3 linked regions of the Drosophila melanogaster genome follow. The protein of the gene in region 3 purifies or fractionates together with the protein of the main gene of each other region. This does not show direct contact. Each region holds a gene or a part of one and is shown on either strand. Other genes may lie near its edges.

Region 1 (4,835 bases), on a different chromosome or scaffold from region 3:
TCGAAATGTTTCAAAATGTGAAATAAATTAATCTTAGTTGATTGTTAGTAGTCTTCTTCTTAAGTAGTTAAACATTCCTGAGGCCACATAAATTTATTGATTTCTTAGTATTTCAATCCTAATTTTAAAATGTTTTTTTTTTTCTAAATGTCAAGTAAAATGATTTCGTCTTTTTTTCATATGTAATACGTTCAAGTTATCACACTGGCACCTCCGTCAACTTTGAACACCGAACCAACAACATTTTTCTGACGAAGCAAAGTCCTACGTGGAGTGCGTGTGGGCGTGGCTGGAAAAGCCGCATTCCTCGCCCCCATTTTATGTGGCGCACAGAAACTGGCTGATAAACGCAAACAAATATGGGCGTCAACAGCTCGAATGGGCGACGGAAAATGGTTGGCGTTGTTCTCGTTTCGGTTTCCTCGCAGTTGCCGTTGCATTCCATTAACATTACAAATGTATTCATTGTTCGCAACAGGCAGCAGCAGCAATGACGCCATTATGCGGAAATGTGACAAGTGATAGAAAGGATAATGCCACCCCCTCTGCATTTTGCCTCCCCTTCGTCCAGGATTCTGCTGCATGCGAAACTTTTGCCTTCGCCGTTGTTTTCGCTTCTTTATGCGCAAGTGGCTTTATTATTTGTTTTTCCCGCTCGCACGCTAATATGGCCAGATGTGTGTGCATATATGTGGTGTCTGGCTTACTGCAGATGCTGCACACCCAACAATAAAAAGGAGTGCAAGGAAATTGGGTTTTCTGCAGGAAGACTTAATACTCTAGTTTACGAATAACATTATAAAAGAATTTGTCGCGTAATTTAATCAAATATAATTTTAATAGAGCTCAAAACAGTGAGATGGGTTTTCAAAATAATAGAAAATATTTAAAAATATCTTAACTTTTTCATATGCCATTTAATTATGCACTTTGGAAAGCAATCTCCTAGTAAAAGGACTTTTACCCAATGGAAGAGAGTGGAAAACTAACAACAACAATCGTAAAAGGATGACAAAATCACAGAATGCCAAATTGTTTTCGTATTATTGTTGCCATTGTTGTCGCTGTTGTAGATGCAGTTGCTGTTGTTGTAGTTGCAGCTGCAGTGGTAGTTGTAGTTGTAGTTGTAGCTGGTGCTGTTGTTGAGCTTATCGTTATTTAAATTAGCATTACAATGCACTCACACTGGCGCACGCACTGCGTGACATCGCAACCATATTGTTGCTGTGGGAACTGTTTGCTGCAGTGCCGAGGAGGAGAGTTTTCCAACTTGGTTGTACTCCCATAACTCCGCAGAGCAGAGCATCGCATCGCATCCCACCCGCTCATATCTGGCCACTTTCTTTGCGATTGTTTAGCAGTAGTTAATACAATTTTAATAGATAAATAATTAAAAAACGAACTAAAAGCACTAAAAAATAAACTCCTACTTTTCTGAACGGTTTAGTTTTAAGAACATATTTCATATTTCATTCATTTCACAAATTTTGACAATTCACCATTCCATTCACAGTTCGAATCGTTGAGTAAACCAGTAACTCACGGCGGGTTTGAATAAGACAACCTTCTAGAAGTGAAACAAAAACATTTATAAATTTCACGCAACAATGCCATAGAAATTGGACAAGGATGTCCGTTGATGGGAGCACACAGGTAAGCACGACTACATAATATATGTCTAAGCAACAATTTGGCAATATCCGCCTTTGCAAACTTCCGTTTGTGCAACCCACATTTTTGGCCCAAAGCTCGATACGAAATCCCTTGGAAGAAGCAAAAATCCACTTTGGTATTATGCAATCGTGCGCGGCGATGAAGTTAGATTGGGCGATCGGAGGGGATTCCCCGAGATGCGATGCCGTACAAATGCCAATACATTATTCATGGTTTCGAAAGCCCTCACATTTCGTCCTCCATTCCCCGAGTTGGCTGCGCCAAACAGGTGTGCAAAATAGCTGACAAATATTTCACGCGTGCTACCGTTTCAAAGCCAGTTGTTCTTACGAAACTCAAATCATGGCAATAATTTTTGATTTTCTGCAATTTTCTTCGAAGAAGAGCGAGATCAGCACTCTTCAGCATCTAAAATCTTTAATAACACAGTGAAAACGGTATAGAAAAGTTCCATAACTTAGCTTGTAGGAAGTGCAATTAACCATTTTCGGTGGCCGTACTAATAAAAATTGGCATAATTATAATAATTTTATCCTAACCAAGTCAAATTCATGCGTGGAAGCATATTTTCTCAGAATAAAAGAAATATAAATAAAAAAATCATCTTTCAATCTAAACATCTCAATTTTACCAATTTTAAGGTAATAAAATAGCTATTCTAGAAAGTGGAATGGAAAAATTTTTTAAAGTAATAGGCAAATATATGTTTTTGTGCTAAAAACAATTAACGTTTTAATTTCATTTTTTAGTTTTCATGTATGTAACAACTAAAGTTAAAGTTAAAACATTTATTGGAGTCGTTTTCAATGTAATGATATATGGCCATCCAACAACGTCTTAGGTGGATGCGGCTGGTGCCTGAAGAAATGTTTCGTTAAGTTTTTGCAGACCCTCCTGCACGGTATTTAATCCATCCTTGAAGAGACCCTACACAGAGAGAAAAGTTGTTAGTTAGAAATTCGTAAATACTTTATGGAAAATACGTATGTAGTGGATAGAATGAGTTTTAAGCGTCTCCACGAAAAATGACTATTAATTACTTAGAACTCGCTTTATTTTTGATATGATTGCTTTATAATTACCTCAACCTTCTTCGCGTCCAACGCCTTCAACTTTTCAATGAATTCGTTGAAATCACCCTGGGCCTTGGTAAGAAATTCTTGGGCAGGATTGGATTCCTCACGGGGGACGCGGGCGGACAGAGCCAACTGAAATCAAAGTGCCACATTGTAGTTTATCTCTGAAAATAGGTCCTGCATCTGTGTGCCAGGACTTTGAGCATTTTACTTACGGCGAACAGGGCGAACACGAGGATGCAAATTGCGAGCTTGGCCATTTTTGTGTTGGTTTTTTGTAACTGCTGCGGAACTCTGAACTAGAGAACGATGACTTGAGTACTGATTGAACCTCTGCCAAACTACTCATAACGACACCTCGTTTTGCGCCGCAGCCGGCCGAATTTGAGACCGGCTTATCGGCACTAGGAAGGCCGAGCGTTTAGAGCTACGGAGCTGACCCGTGATAAGCGTACTTTTTTCCGTAGCATGCTGGAATAGATTGCTTCGCATAACAGCTGAGCGTTTGCTTGGCTCAAGAATGTCTACATTTGTTTAGTCACAGAAGATAACCGCTTTATGCAACCGCCAAATAGTTAATCTCTGTAGGACTTAATGGTATTGCCCTATCCTCGAATCCAGTATTCTAGCACTTGGCCCGTAACAAAGATTTAAATATATAATTTAAGAATATTTTTAATTTGAATTTCAACAAGAAATAATTATGGAATTACCACTGTATAAATTTGGAATATACATATCCTACAATGTGTGCTTATCATTTCAATGGCTCGCATAGCTAAGCTGTTCTGAAGGCCTTTCGATCCAGCAATCGGAATTGTTTATCTACTTTTATTTGTTTTTTTCATTAAAGACCAAATATTTTAATATTTCTGTAAGCATTTTTTTTAGTTAAATATATATTTATATATAGTTAAAGTGAAGAGATAACGCTATAGTCGACTTTCTGTACGAGTAACAGGTATATAGTCAATTTTATTTTATACTATAATTTCCATTTTACCGGCTATCAATGCAAAGCACGTGGCACGTGATAAGGTTTTTTTTAAATGCTTTTGATAAGGCGCCCTACATTCGAAATTATGTAATTGCGCAAAATAAATATTTATAATACCGAGTATTAGAAAATTTGACGAAGCAACCCGGAAATTTCCAACGCGAAGCTAAGTTGGAGAAATGCAAATGCGATTGGACTTGGGCAAACCAAACAACGCTTTCAGAATATTTAGACAGAGCTACTCTTGTAGACTTTGGATATCAAAAACGTAAATTTAGCATGGTGAACTCATCTTAAAAGGCGAATAGAAATAACGAAACACTATTATCAACATAGATGCTGCGGTAAAAAAACTGAACTAACAAAAATAGTGTATTCTGTAGCTCACCTCCAGGGGTTAAAGTAATTTAAATGATGAATTCGCATATTTAGTAAAGAAATTACAGTTCTCTGGTTTTGAAAGCTGAATAGATAAGGGCTTACTGCTCGGAGTAAATCCGAAGATTACGTAATGGTTAAAAGAGGTAATAATAATTAGAATAATAGTCGTGTATTGCCGTATTTTTAGCGTAATCACGATATGATAGCCATATAAAGTGACAATCGGGGTTTTTTATTTGTATTATATTGCAACAGTTTGATCTCTCGGATCAACTCTCGTGTCTTCAAGGGCAATTCATTAAAACAATAAATGTGAAGTGCGATGCTGAAGGGTTTCCCCCAACTTAAGCCCCAAAAGTAGTTAGTCAAGAGTAGAGTTTGTTTCGGGAGCAACGAACTAAACAGCAAACAGAGCTCAAAGTGCACGACTTTATGCCTCGTTTTCGTAATTTTCCCCAGACACAAACAAACCCAATTAAGTGGCAGCACGAGTCAGAAGACCCAGACCAGATACCCAGAACCACTAATAAATTTTCATTTGGCGGAATGAAAATATTTAATTGCAATTTCGCCAAGTGGCTAAAACTTAGCCCCACGGTCTGGTCTGTTGGTTGGTCGGGTTGAAGTTCTCCTAGGGCACCGAACTGAGGATATGCTCCGGCACTGGCGGATGACATTGGGGCAGGGGTGGACCCAACGTGGGGTAG
Region 2 (6,130 bases), about 15 Mb from region 3:
GCGATAAGGACGTTTATTCAGTCCCAGTCCCGCGCCAGTAAAAATTTGTTAATGAAAAATGGCAAACAATTTCGCTTCTTGGCCTGCCTGTCTGCCTTGCCACCGAAAACATGGCGAAAAACAAAGGGACAGGAGACAAGACTTTTCATTAAAATTGCACAGGCGTAGAAGTGGTCGTGAGAGAGGGGGGGGGAGTGGTTCAAGGATTATTTATGGGAGCCTGGCGGAAGCTGTCGGCGCAGCTGCCTTTCACTGGCTGCAAATGGCATTGCAATAAAACGAAATTAAATTGCTATTTTGCATACATATTATGTGTGCCCAAATGTCCTGGACACTCTCACACACTCACACACAGACACACACCCACACACATTCTCATATTCATAGTTGTCTGGATGGCGAACAATAACCAAAATATTCGGAATCCTTTGACAACATCTGGCCTCCCAAATAGTTTTTAACCCCTGCCACCTCAACCACAACCCTTTGTAATTGCTTGACGCTTTTATTAAAATGCATAAATGAATAGAATTATTTTGGGGCAAAGACACCTTTTTATAGCCGCCATTTAGAGCATGTGTGGAATGGCTTCGAAAAACCAGTTTAGGACCACATAATTTGTGCGATGGCTCATGACCAAACAATTACAAATGACGAAGTTAAGATCCTCGCCAAATGCACCACAAATGACCGCAATTAGCCACCCTACTCTCTACCGTACACTTAGAGAAATCTTATGGTCTATAAAAATGAGCGCCTTAATTTGATCATTCCTTCAATATAAAAATGTCAAAGTTACTAAGCTTGTATCCCTTCTTATATTCTTATATTTAATTGGTTCCAAGACTTGACTACCCTCTTTTTTTCCCTGTGCATCCAGCGGACATAACGAAAATCATTGAGGCAGCATCCATCCGCAAATCAGGGCAATTAATATTAAGTGGATTATTATTTAATGACCGCTGCACGCACTCGGAGACACTGAAGAACCCACTCGGAGCGATCCAAGCACTATTCCAACCCAAAACCACATCAACTTGAATCCCATTTGGTCCTAACTGTTATGATTCCGAATGGAGTTTTCTCTTATGGCTGTCATATTCTAATTACATAAGAGCACGCAGTTATTACACGGATTCGCCTAATGCCGCAGATACGGATGCTGTGATTTGATGACCCCTGACCCCTGGCATTAAAATGGCAAATTGACGTTCATTTCACGTGCTAGTGGACCGTATCCGTACTCCGGATGTGCGGCGATATGAGCAAAGTCCTCATTGAATGGGCGTCGCTAATTGATAAATTGCTTCGATGCGTGGCTGGGATCCATAGTCGCATAGTACAATAGCTACTCAAATGCCGCAGAAAATGCTTAGAGAAAACCACTTTCAAAAGTGATTAAAGATACATTTTTACCTATTTCACACGTTAATTGAGCAGCTGTTATAGGATCTTACGGAATTTCCTAGAATTAATAGAGCTTCCATGTGGATTATAAAAAAAAAACTCATATTCACAAATAGGGATTCACAACAATTATTGTAGGTCAGGAGAGTGAGGAGGGAGCAGAGGAAGATAGGGAAACTGCGATGCAAATTCAGGGGACAATTAAAATCCGAGATTGCATCGGCTTACGCAACAATGTGACATCCACGTCATCGTGGAGTCTCCGACTTAGTCAGCAGACGGCCAAGATGGCGCCCGGCGGATCTGCTCCGGTTCCGGAGCGGCAAAGCCGTGTGCACCAGGCAGTGATAAGGCGACAGAGAGAATCTCGCATGGAATGACAAACGTGGCCCCTTCGTATCAGCGGCGGAGGAGTGTATCACTGATTAGATAGTCGGGCTCCTTTAAGCCCCACAGATCACTGCGAGAGATAGGTTTCACTTTTCACCATCGATTTAGGTTGTCAATTGAAAGAAAGTAATAAATTGATATTGAGATAGATAGATCCCACTAGATCCTAAGTGATTCCAGTCTCTGAATGGTCAAAAAGATGATTTTAAAATGGTAACGTAGTTTGCATACAATACTACGATATTTACAACATGGGTTTACATTCTCATTTATTTATTTATTTTTAGACAAGCGTTGATGGCTTGTACATAAACATATGGTTTTTAGTTGAAGGCACATTCTAAGAATATCAGAAACCACAACATTATGGAACATTACACCCGTTGTGATCGCAGAACTGAGTAGTTTCCGATACCATTTCGACTTTGTATATTTCATTGTTCCATATGATATCCAAAGTACACTGCCAGCCAGCCCGCAATCAGCAGCACTCGGAGAAAAAACGCAAACAGACGCCCCTCATTGAGGACCAGATACATTTCGACCCAAACCCAAACCTTATCAGAGAGGCAAAAATGCTGCTGTTTTACTAGTTGATAATTAGGTTCTTTGATGTGTTTATTATTTGTTCAAGCGGTAACGTACATACTAAAGATACATTTGCTGGGGCGAACTTGCTAACTTATTTATGATAACATTATCACAATCTGGTGTGCTGGTAAATCAAGGTGAATTTCGCGGTGTAAATTATTCACTTGTGGCTGCTTTGATAATGCTGCTGCTGCACTGCGATTTATTGATGAACAATCCAAGGAAACAAATTTATAAGGGAATTATGAGAGCAATTTTGAGGAGACAGTGTAGGAGCGTGTTAGAAAAAGAAGGAGGAAAAGGAGGTGGTCTCCACTCCTTACTGCTTCTGCAGATACTCGTCGAACAGGTAGACGGACAGGGATGGGTCGGGGACCTTCATCAGCTTGGCGAGGTCGTTGGCATAGCCGGACAGCTTGCGCACGCTCTCGGCCTGCTTGCCCAGGAAGTTCTCCTCGAAGTAGTGGGCCAGCTCGGGATCCCTCTCGGCGTCGGTGGCGTGGGTGGCACGGGAGTGCACGTGAGTGGCTCCGGTGGCCAGCTGCTTCTCGGTGTCCAGAGCCAGAGCCAGGGAGTGCAGTTCGTCGACCTCAAGAGTGCCGCGCTTGGTGCTCACGGAGCCGGAAGACTCGTGGCGGGTGTTGAAGTCAACGATTCCTCCGCGACGGGTCACCTGCTTGATCAGGGCAATGCTGTCCTCGAAGGAGCGGTCCGAGAGTCCCTGGTACAGCTTCTGGAAGCCGGGGCGGTTCTTCTGGTAGGAGTTGAAGTGGGTGGCCAGCAGGAGGTAGTCGTACGACTTGGCCAAGTTGGCGTTGATGTAGGACTGGATCTCGGGCTCAATATGGTCAATGCCAGCAAAACGGGCATTACAAATGGAGTTGGCTACGGGGAAAAAGCAAATAATAAAGATCACACTCTTAGAATAGGAGAGCAGAAGCACATCCAATAGTAATGACATAGTCTTAATGGTTCCTAACTAGGTAGTGCCATACTAAACAAGGCAATAGAATTTTGAATTTGTATTTGTATCTTTAAAATAATAATGTAAGGGCCGTAATGCAGTAAGAATTGGAAAGTGTTCATTTTCACGAAATCTGAGATAGTGCAGAAATACATCCAATCTATATTTCACTTACTCTTGCCTGTGAAAAAGCCCGTGAGCGCTTGTTTTTATTATTATGTTTTACAAAGATACAAAAAGCAACAACACAGATTAGCCACTCTCTCTTAGAGGCGCTCTCTTTACTCACCCGAAAAGGCTGACGTAGAGCATGCGGTGATTACAGTGTTCTGGCAATATTCATCATCCTTGGCCAAGGCAAGAGAGCCGAGGCACGCAAAGAGAGCGAGTGCAACGAAAAATTTCATGTCGACGGTTTACTGTAAATTAAAATCAAATTCGAGAGGCGAAAACAAAGGAAATTAGTTTCACAACAATTGACAATTGGAAAACAGACACTTTTGTTTTCATTTTGGGCGAGTTTTTTCGTTTTGCGTCGTAGCGTTTTCTTGAATTTTCTGTGCTCTTTTTTAACAACAAAACCACCACCAATGGAATGTTTTGGTTTTTAAATTTATATGGTGGTCGGTTTAAAAACACAGTTTCCAGAATATTATTTTCTAGTTTTCGTAACTAAACACTCACAAAGTAGTTAGTTAGTAATATTAAAACTCACTTCCAGTGCCTGTGCTTTTATTAATAATTCAATCGCTTTATGTGCTTCTTGGTGAAACTCTGAAAATCAACTGCTGTTTATAGCGTCGCGTACGTCTCTTTCTATGCGATCGATATGGCTGTGTGTGTGTGGTTTTGGAGAGCGTGCATGGGCATGTGTTGTTTTGCGCTCAGTGCGGGATTTCGGTGTCATTCAAATATGGCCGCTGCCAGTGCTGTTGTTGCTGCGCCTGCTGGAAGGTGACTCACGACAGGGTTGTCAGCGTGTGCAAAATATGGACGCTGCACTTTGGATTTCAAGTGGTTTCCTGAGAGTTTTATCAGCTAACGATGAGAATTGAAAATAAACTGCAGATAAACCATCTACCTCCTAAGATAATGTTTTAAGTTTTGATATATTGGTAATTCACAGCAGCATCGAGCTTGAGACTGTTGCTATTTACAATACATATTATTGCTGGGTTCGGAGATAATGTAGGGTTTCCCCAATCAACAAACAAATTATGTAATTTGTAAGTTTTCCCACCATGTATCCTTCTTATCAAGTGTCATTCTTGGAGCTCTGCAAGCGACACGTAAAAAAGAGCCGTCGCCATATTAGCAGTTATCAAAGTGGGTGACTGATCCCCCCTTCGAACGTGCAAATCAACTTGACAAAATGTGAATTAAATTGTCAGCAATAATTAAACCGCCTGGCAACACATGACGTGGTGCTCTCCCACGGCCAAAACAAAAACAAAGAACAGCTGATGCGCATCTCAAAAGAGCGGCCATATTGCATTTGATAAATTTACTTCTTAGTAAGTGGGGATTATCTGACTAGGAAACCCGACTTTATACAAAGTATACCCATATTGAGGACGTGTGTATCACATTGAGTGCGGCAATTATCGGGAATATTCAATTATCAGCCATTTAAACGGTTAACAAAGAACGGGCGACATGTTGAAAAGATAACAGTGCACACTCTCCCATCACTCACACACACACGAAGAAAAACCGAGAGCGCGCGCGCTTAAAAGTGTTTTGTGCGCCGTTCGGAGCGACAGTTCGCTTTCGAGTTCGCTAAAACACAACGTAGAAAGGCCTTAGCTCCACTGAAAAATCAGATTAAAGCTGTCAGCAGAAGGTACTGGAAAGCATTCGAGAAGTCGAAAATAATCCCAATCAAGCCCATCAAATTGAAGCAGGCGACGCCTTCTGCGCCAGTGTGTGTAAAGGCAGCTAGATTTTCAATTTCAACGCCTATTTAACATTGTAGCTCAACTCGAGTCGCCTCATTCTCATTTGTGCATTTCAAGCAAATCAAACTAAAGTGAAAAACAAATTTTTGTTCTGTGATTTTGTGTAAAGACTACGTTCGACGATCAAAGATGGTGAAACTAATTGCTAGCCTGCTCCTGTTGGCCGTGGTGGCCCAGGCCTATGGAGATTTCAAGTGTAAGTACTAATGTTACGTTTTATTCATCAGAATTTCAAACAAAACAAAGGCAGGTCATCGGAAAAAAAACAATAAATTTCGACGCAATACGCAAAGAGAAGCAAAACATTTGTAATGCGTTGAAAAGAGCATGCGCCGTTTCTCTTTGACGCTCTTTCACTCTCTTTCGTCAATGAAGTGAAGTTACCAAACCAGTTGATTTAAAAGTTATTGATACTTCCGTTGCGCTTTGGGGAAATGATAACCAGTTTTTATACATAAATTTTCATAATTAAATAATGCGAATTTCGCTTTCATTTCCATGAATATTGCGGTATAAATAAGCTTGACTTTTTGTTGTTACATTTCAAGGCGCTCTTTGCACACGGCTTTTACGGGCCGAGTGAGCTAGCATGGTGAACCATGCTTTTTGCACACGGCACTACACGAAAACAAATGCCGTTACTATGGCGGCGAGAGCTGCGCACGTTACCAATGCAGTTACAAAAACAGAGAGAGAGAGTGGGAGAGTAGGCCATTACAGTTTTGCACACGGTTTTTGTGCCCTAGAATAGCGGCATTTCAAGCGCAATTTCAAAGGTTTATGCAATTACGCCCTCTTAAATGCAATAACCAACAACGCC
Region 3 (10,772 bases):
TCGCGACCACGATGCGTCGGCTGATTCAGCAGATAGGCCATGATCTCCTCATTCTCCGAGACCTTCTCGAACTCGGCCAGGTGGGAGTTTAGACCCTTGCAGGCAGAGTTTGCCGTCTTCCAGTTCACCTGCTGCTGGCTGTTGATGTAGTAGCAGTTGTCGCTGATGCGCGTGAAGTTCGCGGGACAGGGATCCTTCACCTCCTTCTGATTGTTTCCGGCCATCAGATAGTAGATCAGCTGCTCCGAGCGCCGCACGCGACTCTCCAGGTAATCTATGGGTGTTTGCTTTTACTTAGACCAAGAACTCCTAGGTGTGACTTCAACTTACCCACTCGATACACCAACTTTTCAATGGCTCCCAAGAGATAAAGATCATTTTCGGAGACAGCTCGGAATGTGGTCGGCTGACCGCCCACAAGATGTTGCTGTTGCGGGTGTTGCTGCGCTATCTGTTGCACTTGCTGCTGTTGCAGCGGCACTGGTCGCACATGTTGCTGTTGCTGGGTACCGCTACCACCACCACCACCACTGCCACCTATGCCAAAGAGCTGCTGCAGGAAACCCGGTTGCTGGCGTTGCTGCAACTGTTGCTGTTGCTGTTGTTGCTGCATCTGTTGGTGTTGCTGGTGCAACATTTGATTGGTCATGGGTCGGAACTGAGGATTCACAATGGGACTCTGGCTCTCCACGGGCTTTCGCAGATGCGGCTCTAGTTCCACCGCCTCGCCAATTCTCCTGGTGATGTAGATATTGTTGCCGGGTCGCTTGTAGGCGGACGAGTGATAGCTGAGCGGTCCATTGATGCCCATGTCCGCGCCCATATAAGGCAGGTCTTTGGACTTTCGCTGGCTGCCGCTGCTACTGCTGCCTTGGCTATATGTAAGACAGACGCGTGGGAAGATCTGGATGAGTGTGTTGCCCTAGCCTAGCCTCCTGTAACCATACCTCAAGACGTAATCTTCGAGAAATTGCGACCAAACTGGAGATGGATCGTCTGCGTCCGCGAGTGATTCATTGGCGTATTTTTGCCTAGTTTCACCATCGCTGCCATTGCATAAGAGTGCAATACCTAATGCCAGATAAACAAGGGCCGTAAGCCGGAGTTGTTGACCAGCCGGCGGCATGGTGACACGTAATGTTTACGGATGGGTATATTGCCCCCGCCTCGCTAAGCACTTGGCGATTCCAGTCGCGTGGTGAACACTTTCGATTTCGTTGCGTTTTCCGTGCGGTTTATGCCGCGTCCGCTGTTCAAAGACGTCCGTTCGCTTGGGTCGAGCTGAAAACCACGACTGAAGCTCTGCGCTTGACTTTGGGCCTGGTCCGCTCCGCTCGCTGATCGCCTCTTCCTTCCCCTCTTCCCTGCTACCGTCGCACCGCTTCAATACCATGCCAATGGCAATGGCCAAGACCAGACCCAACCAGACCGAAGACCCATTGTTGTTGCTGCCGGCCGCCGAGAAATGCAAAATTTCACTTTCTCCTTCGCTTGGCTGTGGTGGGCAAATGTAAGTCATTGGGCTTTTCATCGGCATCTCTACTGCTCCGCTCGCCGCTTTTGTGGACCGGCCCGGTCCGACCCACTGTTTGTTTGCACTCCAACCAAATTGGCCCAGACTTAGGTAATTGACGCGGCTGTCAATTGAAGCGAAAACTGCTGGCTTAAACTTGAATGAAATGGAGTTTGGTGTGCTGGATGTGCCATGTTCATTTGGGTGTTCTTCGACTTGTGAGGAATGACTTTCTGAATGCGGTTAACTAAGAAAGTAACTTAGGCGATTTTCTAGTTCCTCCCCGGGCAATATAAACATGGAATAATCATTCATATTTCAACTTCTATCTTAAAGATAACAGCTTTTAAAATATCAACCGTTCTCTATATATTTCTTTTTAAAAGCTAAAAACAAAAGTTTTTTTTTTTAAACTCGAAATGACTCTTTCTTTTTTTTTCATAAGATGAACATATCTGCCAGCTTCCATATACCATAATGTAAATTATGTAAATAATGACTGGCGCTTTAAGTGGGTAATTTAACACACCACTTAACGATTTAATAACTATTTTATGGCCAACGTCGCGAGAAGAGCGAGGAGAAATGGAAATTCAATTCGAGTTCAGTTTACAAGAAAGTCCATTTGGCCAAGAGAGCAACAGACCCACATGTCGAACGCGGCCTTAACTCACTTATTGATGGTCAAAACGGCGAGCTGCCCACATCTACAATTCATATCTGGAAATCACCCTGAGGATGTGTATATATGCCATATATATACAGATAACTGAACTTTCATTATTCATTGCTTTGACAATTAGCGCGGATGCTAAAGATGTTGCAATGAAGGCCTCGATTTGCGGATCGTGATCCATCTCCGATGAAGTGGTGACGCACTTCGGACTTGGTTATTTCGGCCCAGCATCCATGGGGTTTCCCAAGAGTATGAGAAATCGGTGGAAAAAACTGAAGACTACTTTGCATATCCGCCAAAAATGTAGTGAACTTCAGCGCGATTCGCTGAAGGGCAAAGAAATTCGGTTTTGTGCATCATTGAAAGCAAACATCAAACATATAATTTTTTTTTAGCAAAGTTTTTATAAATTTTTTTATACTTTTTTTGTGGGTGTTTTTTTGTTTGTTTGTGGTGTAATTGTAAGATATAAACTGAAAGTAAAGCAGGCAGCGCGATCTTAAAATTTTAAATTTAGCCCCGTCTCTTTCCTGGGCACTCTCTCTAGCTCTCTCGCTCTTATTGCCTGACTGCAAGCGCTTCTTAATATTTTTAAACATTGATTTTAAAAATACAAAATTCGTGTTCTTGTTTTCGTTTTGTTTACTTTATACATTCTGCTACTTTTGACTTTAGATAATTTTATTTTTTATAAAACAAAAGAATTTCCATTTGCTTTCTATGCTCGTTGGCTTTGTTGCTGTTGTTGATCTGTTTGTTGTTGTTATTTATTTATTATGAAATATATAGATTTATAAAGAATTGCATACACAATGGTTGTTGTTCTTGGTATCTGCGGCCGCCGATCTTCGTGTTGGCCAAATCAATTTGAGATATTCGTTTACAATTAGTAGAGTTCTCCATCTCGTCGTCGTCTCCATCTTCCTCCGCTGCTGGTGTGGATTTGGTATAATGGGACTGTTGGCCAACTTAGTAGCCAGCCAATTCGGCGAATGTGGAGTCCATCTCGTCGGCCAGGGACTTGTACCTGTCCTTGTTGATGCCCAACTCGTCTGCGGAGTGCAAATGGTGGTTGGAAATGCGTTAGAAAATATTCAAAAATATGGTTTTTTAACATTGGAATTGAAACGAAAAACACTCAAACTTTACACCATGTGTACCAAGTTTATGGAGTTATTGATTAGGATTAGTGGCGCGCTGTTCTGGCAGGCGTTTCTATCTTTTGATCTTTTGGGTTAGTCAGCGGTTCTGTGCGTGGGTTTTCAGGGGAGGTGGGGGACAGGACTATCTATGGGGTGCTCTACGGGATGTGGACATGATCTATCCAACCAATCGTTGCAGCAATCCTTGAGAGAATCCCTCGACCAAGGCCTGGGCGAAATTGGCTCGAACGAAAGCCACTGATGATCGACGAGACGATAGAGAGAGAGAGAGAGAGAGAGACATAGAGACATAGACTGAGATAGAGTGCGAAGGCGAGACGGGTCAAGAGGTCATGCCACATCACAACGGGTAAGAATCTGGCATACAAACAACAATATTTACATTGATAAATTCACCTGTATTAACTACAGTTGCAACTTGGTTTGGCTTGATCTGAACTTATTTTTACAGTGTACTGGCGTAGGGAACTGGTCGTGTGGGTGTGGCCACATTCAAGCGGGACTAAACAGATTATTTACAGTGTATAGATAAGTGTGGCGTGTTGGGCTGGGTGGTAAATACACTGAAACTGTTGGGGGAATCGTTCCAAAAATATAATATAGAATATATATATATATATATAATAAACTGTGTGGGATTCGGGATGTACTGAGAGTGTTCCTTTTTTTGGGGGAGTTGGGCAAGGGGCGGTTGGGGGGGGGGGGAGGCAAGGGCATTGTGTGAGTTCTGTTTGTGATCTTTTTTAATATCCAGTAAGTTCGGCAAATGTCTGGTCCAAATCGTCGCAGATTGCTTTGTATTTTTCCTTCTCATTGAAGAGACGGTCTGCAAAAAGCATTTGTTTGTTGTTCATTTATACAAATATATATATAGAGAGATATTCAAAAAAAAGGGCGAGCGAGCGAGATGTGTGAATGTGGAACGTCAATTAATGAAAGCAGAGTACTAAGTACAATTATTAATATCCTTATGGCGATAAATACAATGCGAGCATTAGTTGAAGCCAGCGATCCGGCCGTTCGAGGCGGATCACTTCCGGTGGACAGCATCTCCGGTGTCCCGTGGAGAGATACCTCCGCGGAAAATGGCTGAGTGAATGTGCCAGGGGCGTAGGAAGTTGGATACATACCCTCTAGCCTGTCGACCTCCTTCTGCAGGCGCTTCACTTGCTTCTCGGCGTGCTCGGCGCGCTGCTCGGCCTCCTTCAACTTGATGGACAGGGTCTTCATCTCGCGCTTGAACTCCTCCACGCGCTGGTTGGCCTTCTCCTCGGACACCTCCAGGGACTTCAGGGAGTTGCCGACAACCTAGTTGGGAATACACCATGAATAGTGGTTTGAGAACAGAAGGATTTCTCTTGAGGACCCACCTTCAGCTCCTCCTCCAGCTCCATGATCTTGGACTCGCCGGAGCGGACACGATCCTCAGCCACCTCCAGCTCGTCTTCAACGAAGGCCAGCTTGCGGGAGACCTCGTCGGACTTGGTATCGGCATCCTCAGCCAGCATGCGGGCCTCCTTCAACTGGTTGGTCAGCTGGTCCATGCGCTCCTCATCCTGCTGGGAACGGTTCTCCAGCACCTTGCACATGCGGTTGTTCTCATCGGCCGACTGGGTGGCCTCCAGCAGCTTCTGTTGGGCGGTGGTCGAGCGCTCCTCGGACTTCTCCAGATCCTCCTCAATCTGTTGCACCTTGCGGTTCTGGGTGGCCACCTCGGACTCGGTGGCGGTCAGGAGTTTCTCCTTCTCCTCCAGCTCGGTGTTGGCCTTCTCCAGCTGCTCCTTGGCGGTAACCAGATCGATCTCCACCTGGACGAACTTCTTCTCCAGATCGCGCACCTCCTCGTTCAGTTTGTCGGCGCGGGAGTTGGCATCCTTGGCTTGGTTCTCGCAGGTGTCGGCCTTGTCAATGGCGTTATCCTTCTCAAGCTTCATCGCTTGCATCTTCTTCTTGATGGCGTCCATGGTGTTTGTGTTTTTGTTTTTGACTTACAAGGGAAGAAAACTGGAAAAAAGCACTGTGCCAAATAATACAAATGAGTAAGCTGAATAACTGAATCCTTAATGTGCAATTTTTAAGGAGCAATTTTCATAAGGCATAGAATATTATATATACTATAATATAATAATAATAATATTATATAATTAATAAAATGTATGACTTTTTTATTTAAATCTAATTGTAGCTTTGAACCGCTTAATAATATATTATAACATATATACGTTGGTCCTAAGATATTCCAATGTTTATTTCCTTTCATAAATTACAGATTTTTTGAACTTGGATTTTTCTTTTGACTATACATTTTTGTTTCTTTACTGTGACTTCTAGAATTTTTATGTTTCCGCTGCAAGACAAAATCGGTTTATTTAAACGATCCAGGCGCATTCTATAGGTTATCCATAGGTATAATTAAATTGTATATATCTATATGCTGTGCATATGTGTTCGTGCAATAAATTTGAGAATTAAATGTAAACACATTTTGTTTGGCGGCTACGCCGAGCATTCTCAAAAGATCTCACGTAATTTTCATTTTCCATTTTCAAAACGCCCACTCAAAATCCGAATCCGGATCCGTCGGTGAGCTATATGTTTATATGTTTATTTGCTGCACGATTCGGTGGGGTTAAAAATAAACTTTATATGCTTTTGCATGTGAGAAAAAAATATCCAGTCCACTCGCACACACACGCATAGGAGAAATGCTTTTTTGGACATTGTGTGCTAAATGTAATTCTAGAGTTTCCCCCTATTATTTCGAAATACCCCACATATATATGTACATAGCTCGCCACCGATTGCAATTTGAAAAGTATTCAATTCTTTGGGGTCATTTGGTGTGTGGGCGTATTCGTATTCGAATTCGTGTATCTATGTTGCTACCACCCAAAGTGGGGCAAAGTCATTTATGTTGTAGTTGCTGATCTTTTGGAGGTCTTGCGATACTCATGTGTGTTTTGTACCCAAAAAAACATAAGCAATGTTTAATATGTGATTTATGAGGTAAAAAGGATTTCTTTCTAAAGACTTTAAATAACTTATAATATGTTAAATAGCTACTTAGTTTTCACATCATTAAAATTTTTGGTGATTGCCAAAGGTACTTGGGCTTTCAATCAGTTCGAATATGTATCTTAAAGATGGCAAATTTTGCGGCCTTCGGACGCATTCACGAATGGCTAGAAATATTCGCTCTGAAATCTACAATTCTGTGTGGGTGGCTATGCCTTGAATATATATATTCCCAGATAGATACCATATGTATCCGCATCTGGGAATCGTCTACGTCTCTAATATTTTCCAAAATATCTCTCTCGAAAACAATCTCAAGGATAAATACCTATAGTTCTCGACTGCCTTCGTTTTCTGAGATCACAGAAAGCTAGACGGAAAAGCTTTTTCGTATAAATTTCAGGCAGAGTTAAAAATAAATGCGTATGTCTGTGTGTGTGTGACAGGCAGGTGTCTGTCTGCAGTTAATTTTAAAGAATTTTCTTCGAGGAAAACTTTATCGGTCGAGTGTGATTGTGTGTGTGAAAATTGTGCGTGCCATAAGTGTGTAAGGTGCATATGTATATGTGTCCCATTCGTGTAGAGCTTTCCGAATGAAGCTCATGTGTGTGTGTGCAAAAAAAAATTCTCTCACACACACACAGATATTTATTGGATGGTATTGGTGCCGTCAGATTTAGTTACAAAATTCCTTATAAGCGAATTTTGAAAATATCCGAAAAATGATCATAAGATCTCCATTTTCAAGTAGTTTAGATCGTTCATTTTAAGTTTTTTAGAGATATTCATTTTTTTAGTTATAGCAATTTTCACTTCCATTACATTTGGATCACTCATTTAACTTTTTGTAGAACTTTATATCCAGGCTAATTGACACATATACATATGCACATTTTATTTAAGTTTAACAAGGTTTTCCTTTTTTTTCCCGTTTGGGGAAAATTCAAAATTTATAATTTTGAATGCCATGCACTTATCACAATTTTGTTATCCACTCGAAATCCAGTTGAAAATACCAATTTGGTTAGCAGCAAAGGCGAGCGATTTAATTATATTTATTTTGAGTTAATTCTTGTCGGGTGAAAATCCTGGCGTGACCAACCTTAGCGTTTCAAACACACTATACGCTGTCGAAACCCCGAGAACACTGATGCTGACCAAGTTGCTTAGCCCAGAAAGCGACCCCAAGATCCAACGCACACGCACACTGCCACTCGGAAAATCGGAAAAACTCACACACACTGAGGGCACACACCAACGCGGTATTGAATAATTTCTCGCCTCAAAAATTTCCCATTAATAAATGTATATGTGGAATGGCGCTTTCGCAACTTTGCTCGGCGATCTCGAAAATTTCCCTCGAAATTTCCCCCAAAAGCTGCTTCATACGATGCTCTCTCTTTTGGGCTGCATTCTCGTGAAATTTATGCGCTTTTCTTTCTGCTTCTTAAATCTAAATTCAATTTATATTTTACTCACAGCACTCTCGCTGTCTGTGTGTGTGCGTGTATCCGTCAGATACACGGCCAAAAATAGCCACAAGCAGCAAGAGCAAAAGTCCAACAAGATGAAAATCTATTTTCGCTCGGTAAAAAAATATTGAGAAATATTTGGAATTTTGATCGGCCAGCGTTTTCCTGCCGTTCTTTTGCTTTCGAAAGTCTCGAATGCAAGGCAATTGATCCGATTTTCTTGTGTGTTAATTGTCCCCGTTCGATTTTTTGCTAAAACAAAACCACTTAACTTACTATATAACTGAAGAATAAAATCTATAATTTATTTATTTTAATAACCAATTAAGTAACGATATGGAAAAATTGTTATCAAAACTCTAAACTAAGAAATTCTATAGATATATGTATATTTTTATATAGGTATATTTAAAAGATAAATATATATGGTGGGTTTTATTTATATGTCCGACCTCGCTAAATCCATTTAGCAATTCATCTCAAAATCCAGTTCAATTTTCTTCTTCTTTCAATATTTCTGTGACGTAACATCTTCTTTAATACTATTATATATCAAGAAGATTCCACCAAATGTCTCATAGTCTCTGGATTACACTTATATGTACTCCCGATCTTTTTATTCTCGTTCAGCAATAAATTTTACTTAAAAGCCAAACCTACATAAGTCAATAATATTGTGCACTTTATTTATAGACTTTTATAACTTCAAATTTTAGTTGATTTATAGCTCTTCTTGATTTAGGAAAATGTTTGAAACTTCATATTTTCAAAACTGTTCAAAAACAACTAATTGGCGAGCAAACGTATTCAGTTTTCAAATTCGATTTTTCAAAACCCTTCTTCTTTAAGCTTATTTTAAACTTTTTTTATATATGTAGCTCCAAAGAATATTTAATGTTGAGTTAAAATATCACACATGTGACAAATATGGTTATTCCAACACAAATAAAAACATCCTATAAGTTTTGGGATATAAGCATGATTTGATTTTGATTTCAATATTAACTTTTAATAAGGATACACAATATTCCGGCAGATTGAAACCAACAGGACACTTTATGTCCTTTATATTCGATTCATGATCAGTGCATATTTTTATTATTTAACTAATGCAACCCACCGTTTAAATAAAAAATCCATGAAATTTTTTATATGCAAAAGAATGATTTCAGTTTATTGATCGTAAAAATATTGAGTTGAAAAAGAAAAATACATACATTGTTATATTTGTTTTGCACGCTTCATAGAATTACAAAAGCTATGACAAATGTGTAAATTTAATTTATATGTCTTCGTTTATATATTCTAATAATATATCTCCTATTCTTGTTGTTTAAACATATACAAAGGCCATAGAAATTTTGTAGATACACTTCGCGAACTGCCATAAAAACACACAAGCAACAGAAAGTTGAGAAAAATTGACTCTGGCTTAAGCGTAACTGAGTTTTTTATTTGAAGATGCTGATTAACGATATTGAGTGGTGGGCTTTCTGGGGTTTTGTATTCAAAATATTACACATACTTTTTCGAGCTGGAATTTTAGTTTCAAGGAAAATGGCAGCGTTTCTTTTCGTTACACAACTCGTTTTAACTTTAGGCTCCATATAAATTTCAATAGTAATTGCTAAAAATGTATTTTTTACTTTATTGTAAAACTCTTGCTCTTATGTAAGAAAGTTGTTTTTTTTTTGGGAATGCTTAGGCGAAGAAGTGTTATGCTAAAAATAATTTGTAATTCGGACGTCGAATGCGTTCGGACTCCATTTGTCTTCATCATAGTGATTGCTGCTCATCTCCCCATGAAGTGGATTTCATTCCCTTAGTAGTTGTTGAGATCGGCGTACTCCAGTTCCTGGGCGATGGTTTTGTACTTTTCCTTACCTTTGCTCACCTCGTCTGCAGCAGGTGGAATAAACAAAATAAATGTGACAAGTTTATAGGGATTTATGTTTTTAAGTTGATTGCTTTATTGCTTAGTTTGGATACAAATAATAAATAAAAAACGTTTGAGTCAAACAAATACACAATTACATCGATGCTTCCCTCTAATTGGTCCGCGATCAAAATCAATCTACAAACTATCCATCTACGAACACACAAATCAAAAGTGCAGGCTACTAGATACAAGTACAGTGGGCCTACGATTATGCGACTACAGTAACAAACAATCGAAAGGTGTGCCGCCCAAAAATATAGCTGTGCGGATCGATTTTGGTCTGGGTGCGAGGGTCCGTCAAGGTCGGGTTGTCGCTTATTCCTTGAGGATGAGCTCGACGAAGGCGGTGTCGAGATCGTCTCCGATGTCCTTGTAGCGCTCCTTCTCCAGGACGAGGTCGTCTGTTCAAGTTGTTGTTTGGGAAATCATAAAAGAACGCAAGAGTAAGGAACGAAAATTAATAAAAATAAATTCATTGAAAATCATTAAAATTACACTTAAAACCTGACACAAACTGAGACCTTTACACAAAAAACTTATAACTTAAAAAATAACCAATGATAGTTACCTCGGTTTCGGATAAAATAAATAAATAATAGCCAGCAGTTGAGTTCGCAAAGTTGTGCTAGCTGTGTGGTTAAAGGAAATCAAAAAGTTTGCAAGAACAGAAAATAAAAGCAGCATTTCGTTTTTATAATGCTTTGGCTAACTGAATGTTTAATTCAATTTCGTTTTGAGTTATTTCAAAAATAAAAAACGTGCTCTTAACTAGGTTTTTTAAAAGCAGGGCAGCATGTGGTAGCAGTGGTTTTCTCTTTCGTCGAAGTGCAGCAGCGATTTCTGGCGCGGATGTGGCGAGCTGGTCCTAAGCTGGGGGAGCCTCGCCTTCAGCAGCAGCTGGAGCCGCTTCGGCGGGCGCTGCTTCAGCTGGAGGAGCTTCGGCGGCGGTGGCTTCGGCTGCAGGTGCTTCAGCTGGAGCAGCCTCGGCAGCTGG

The links. Proteins that work in one complex are often made in the same cells at the same time.
Region 1: the proteins of Tm2 (region 3) and Nplp2 purify together in Drosophila melanogaster (affinity purification with mass spectrometry, with the first as the bait; one large-scale study listed by BioGRID). This does not show direct contact.
Region 2: the proteins of Tm2 (region 3) and Fer2LCH purify together in Drosophila melanogaster (affinity purification with mass spectrometry, with the first as the bait; one large-scale study listed by BioGRID). This does not show direct contact.

Annotation. Positions count from the first base shown.
Region 1 is NT_037436.4:13,354,774-13,359,608, reverse strand, and holds Nplp2 (Neuropeptide-like precursor 2), read right to left. Parts: upstream 3,234-4,835; 5' UTR 3,011-3,233; coding exon 2,966-3,010; intron 2,883-2,965; coding exon 2,757-2,882; intron 2,602-2,756; coding exon 2,512-2,601; coding exon of another isoform or gene 2,413-2,511; 3' UTR 2,386-2,412; downstream 1-2,385. Other genes in the region: CG17687 (uncharacterized protein), read right to left, coding at 4,760-4,835.
Region 2 is NT_033777.3:30,386,840-30,392,969, reverse strand, and holds Fer2LCH (ferritin 2 light chain homologue), read right to left. Parts: upstream 4,141-6,130; 5' UTR 4,068-4,140; intron 3,832-4,067; exon of another isoform or gene 3,772-3,831; 5' UTR 3,760-3,771; coding exon 3,642-3,759; intron 3,555-3,641; coding exon 3,528-3,554; intron 3,274-3,527; coding exon 2,708-3,273; 3' UTR 2,386-2,707; downstream 1-2,385. Other genes in the region: Fer1HCH (ferritin 1 heavy chain homologue), read left to right, coding at 5,440-5,506, 5,859-5,867. UniProt on the Drosophila melanogaster protein: Stores iron in a soluble, non-toxic, readily available form. Important for iron homeostasis. Iron is taken up in the ferrous form and deposited as ferric hydroxides after oxidation.
Region 3 is NT_033777.3:15,306,997-15,317,768, reverse strand, and holds Tm2 (tropomyosin 2), read right to left. Parts: upstream 7,525-10,772; 5' UTR 7,470-7,524; intron 7,093-7,469; exon of another isoform or gene 6,696-7,092; intron 5,735-6,695; exon of another isoform or gene 5,575-5,734; intron 5,394-5,574; exon of another isoform or gene 5,370-5,393; 5' UTR 5,317-5,369; coding exon 4,723-5,316; intron 4,661-4,722; coding exon 4,483-4,660; intron 4,179-4,482; coding exon 4,096-4,178; 3' UTR 3,749-4,095; intron 3,242-3,748; coding exon of another isoform or gene 3,159-3,241; 3' UTR 2,572-3,158; downstream 1-2,571. Other genes in the region: CG14866 (uncharacterized protein), read right to left, coding at 1-274, 331-875, 948-1,126; Tm1 (tropomyosin 1), read right to left, coding at 10,094-10,179. UniProt on the Drosophila melanogaster protein: Tropomyosin, in association with the troponin complex, plays a central role in the calcium dependent regulation of muscle contraction. May also regulate motor systems required to maintain nuclear integrity and apico-basal polarity during embryogenesis.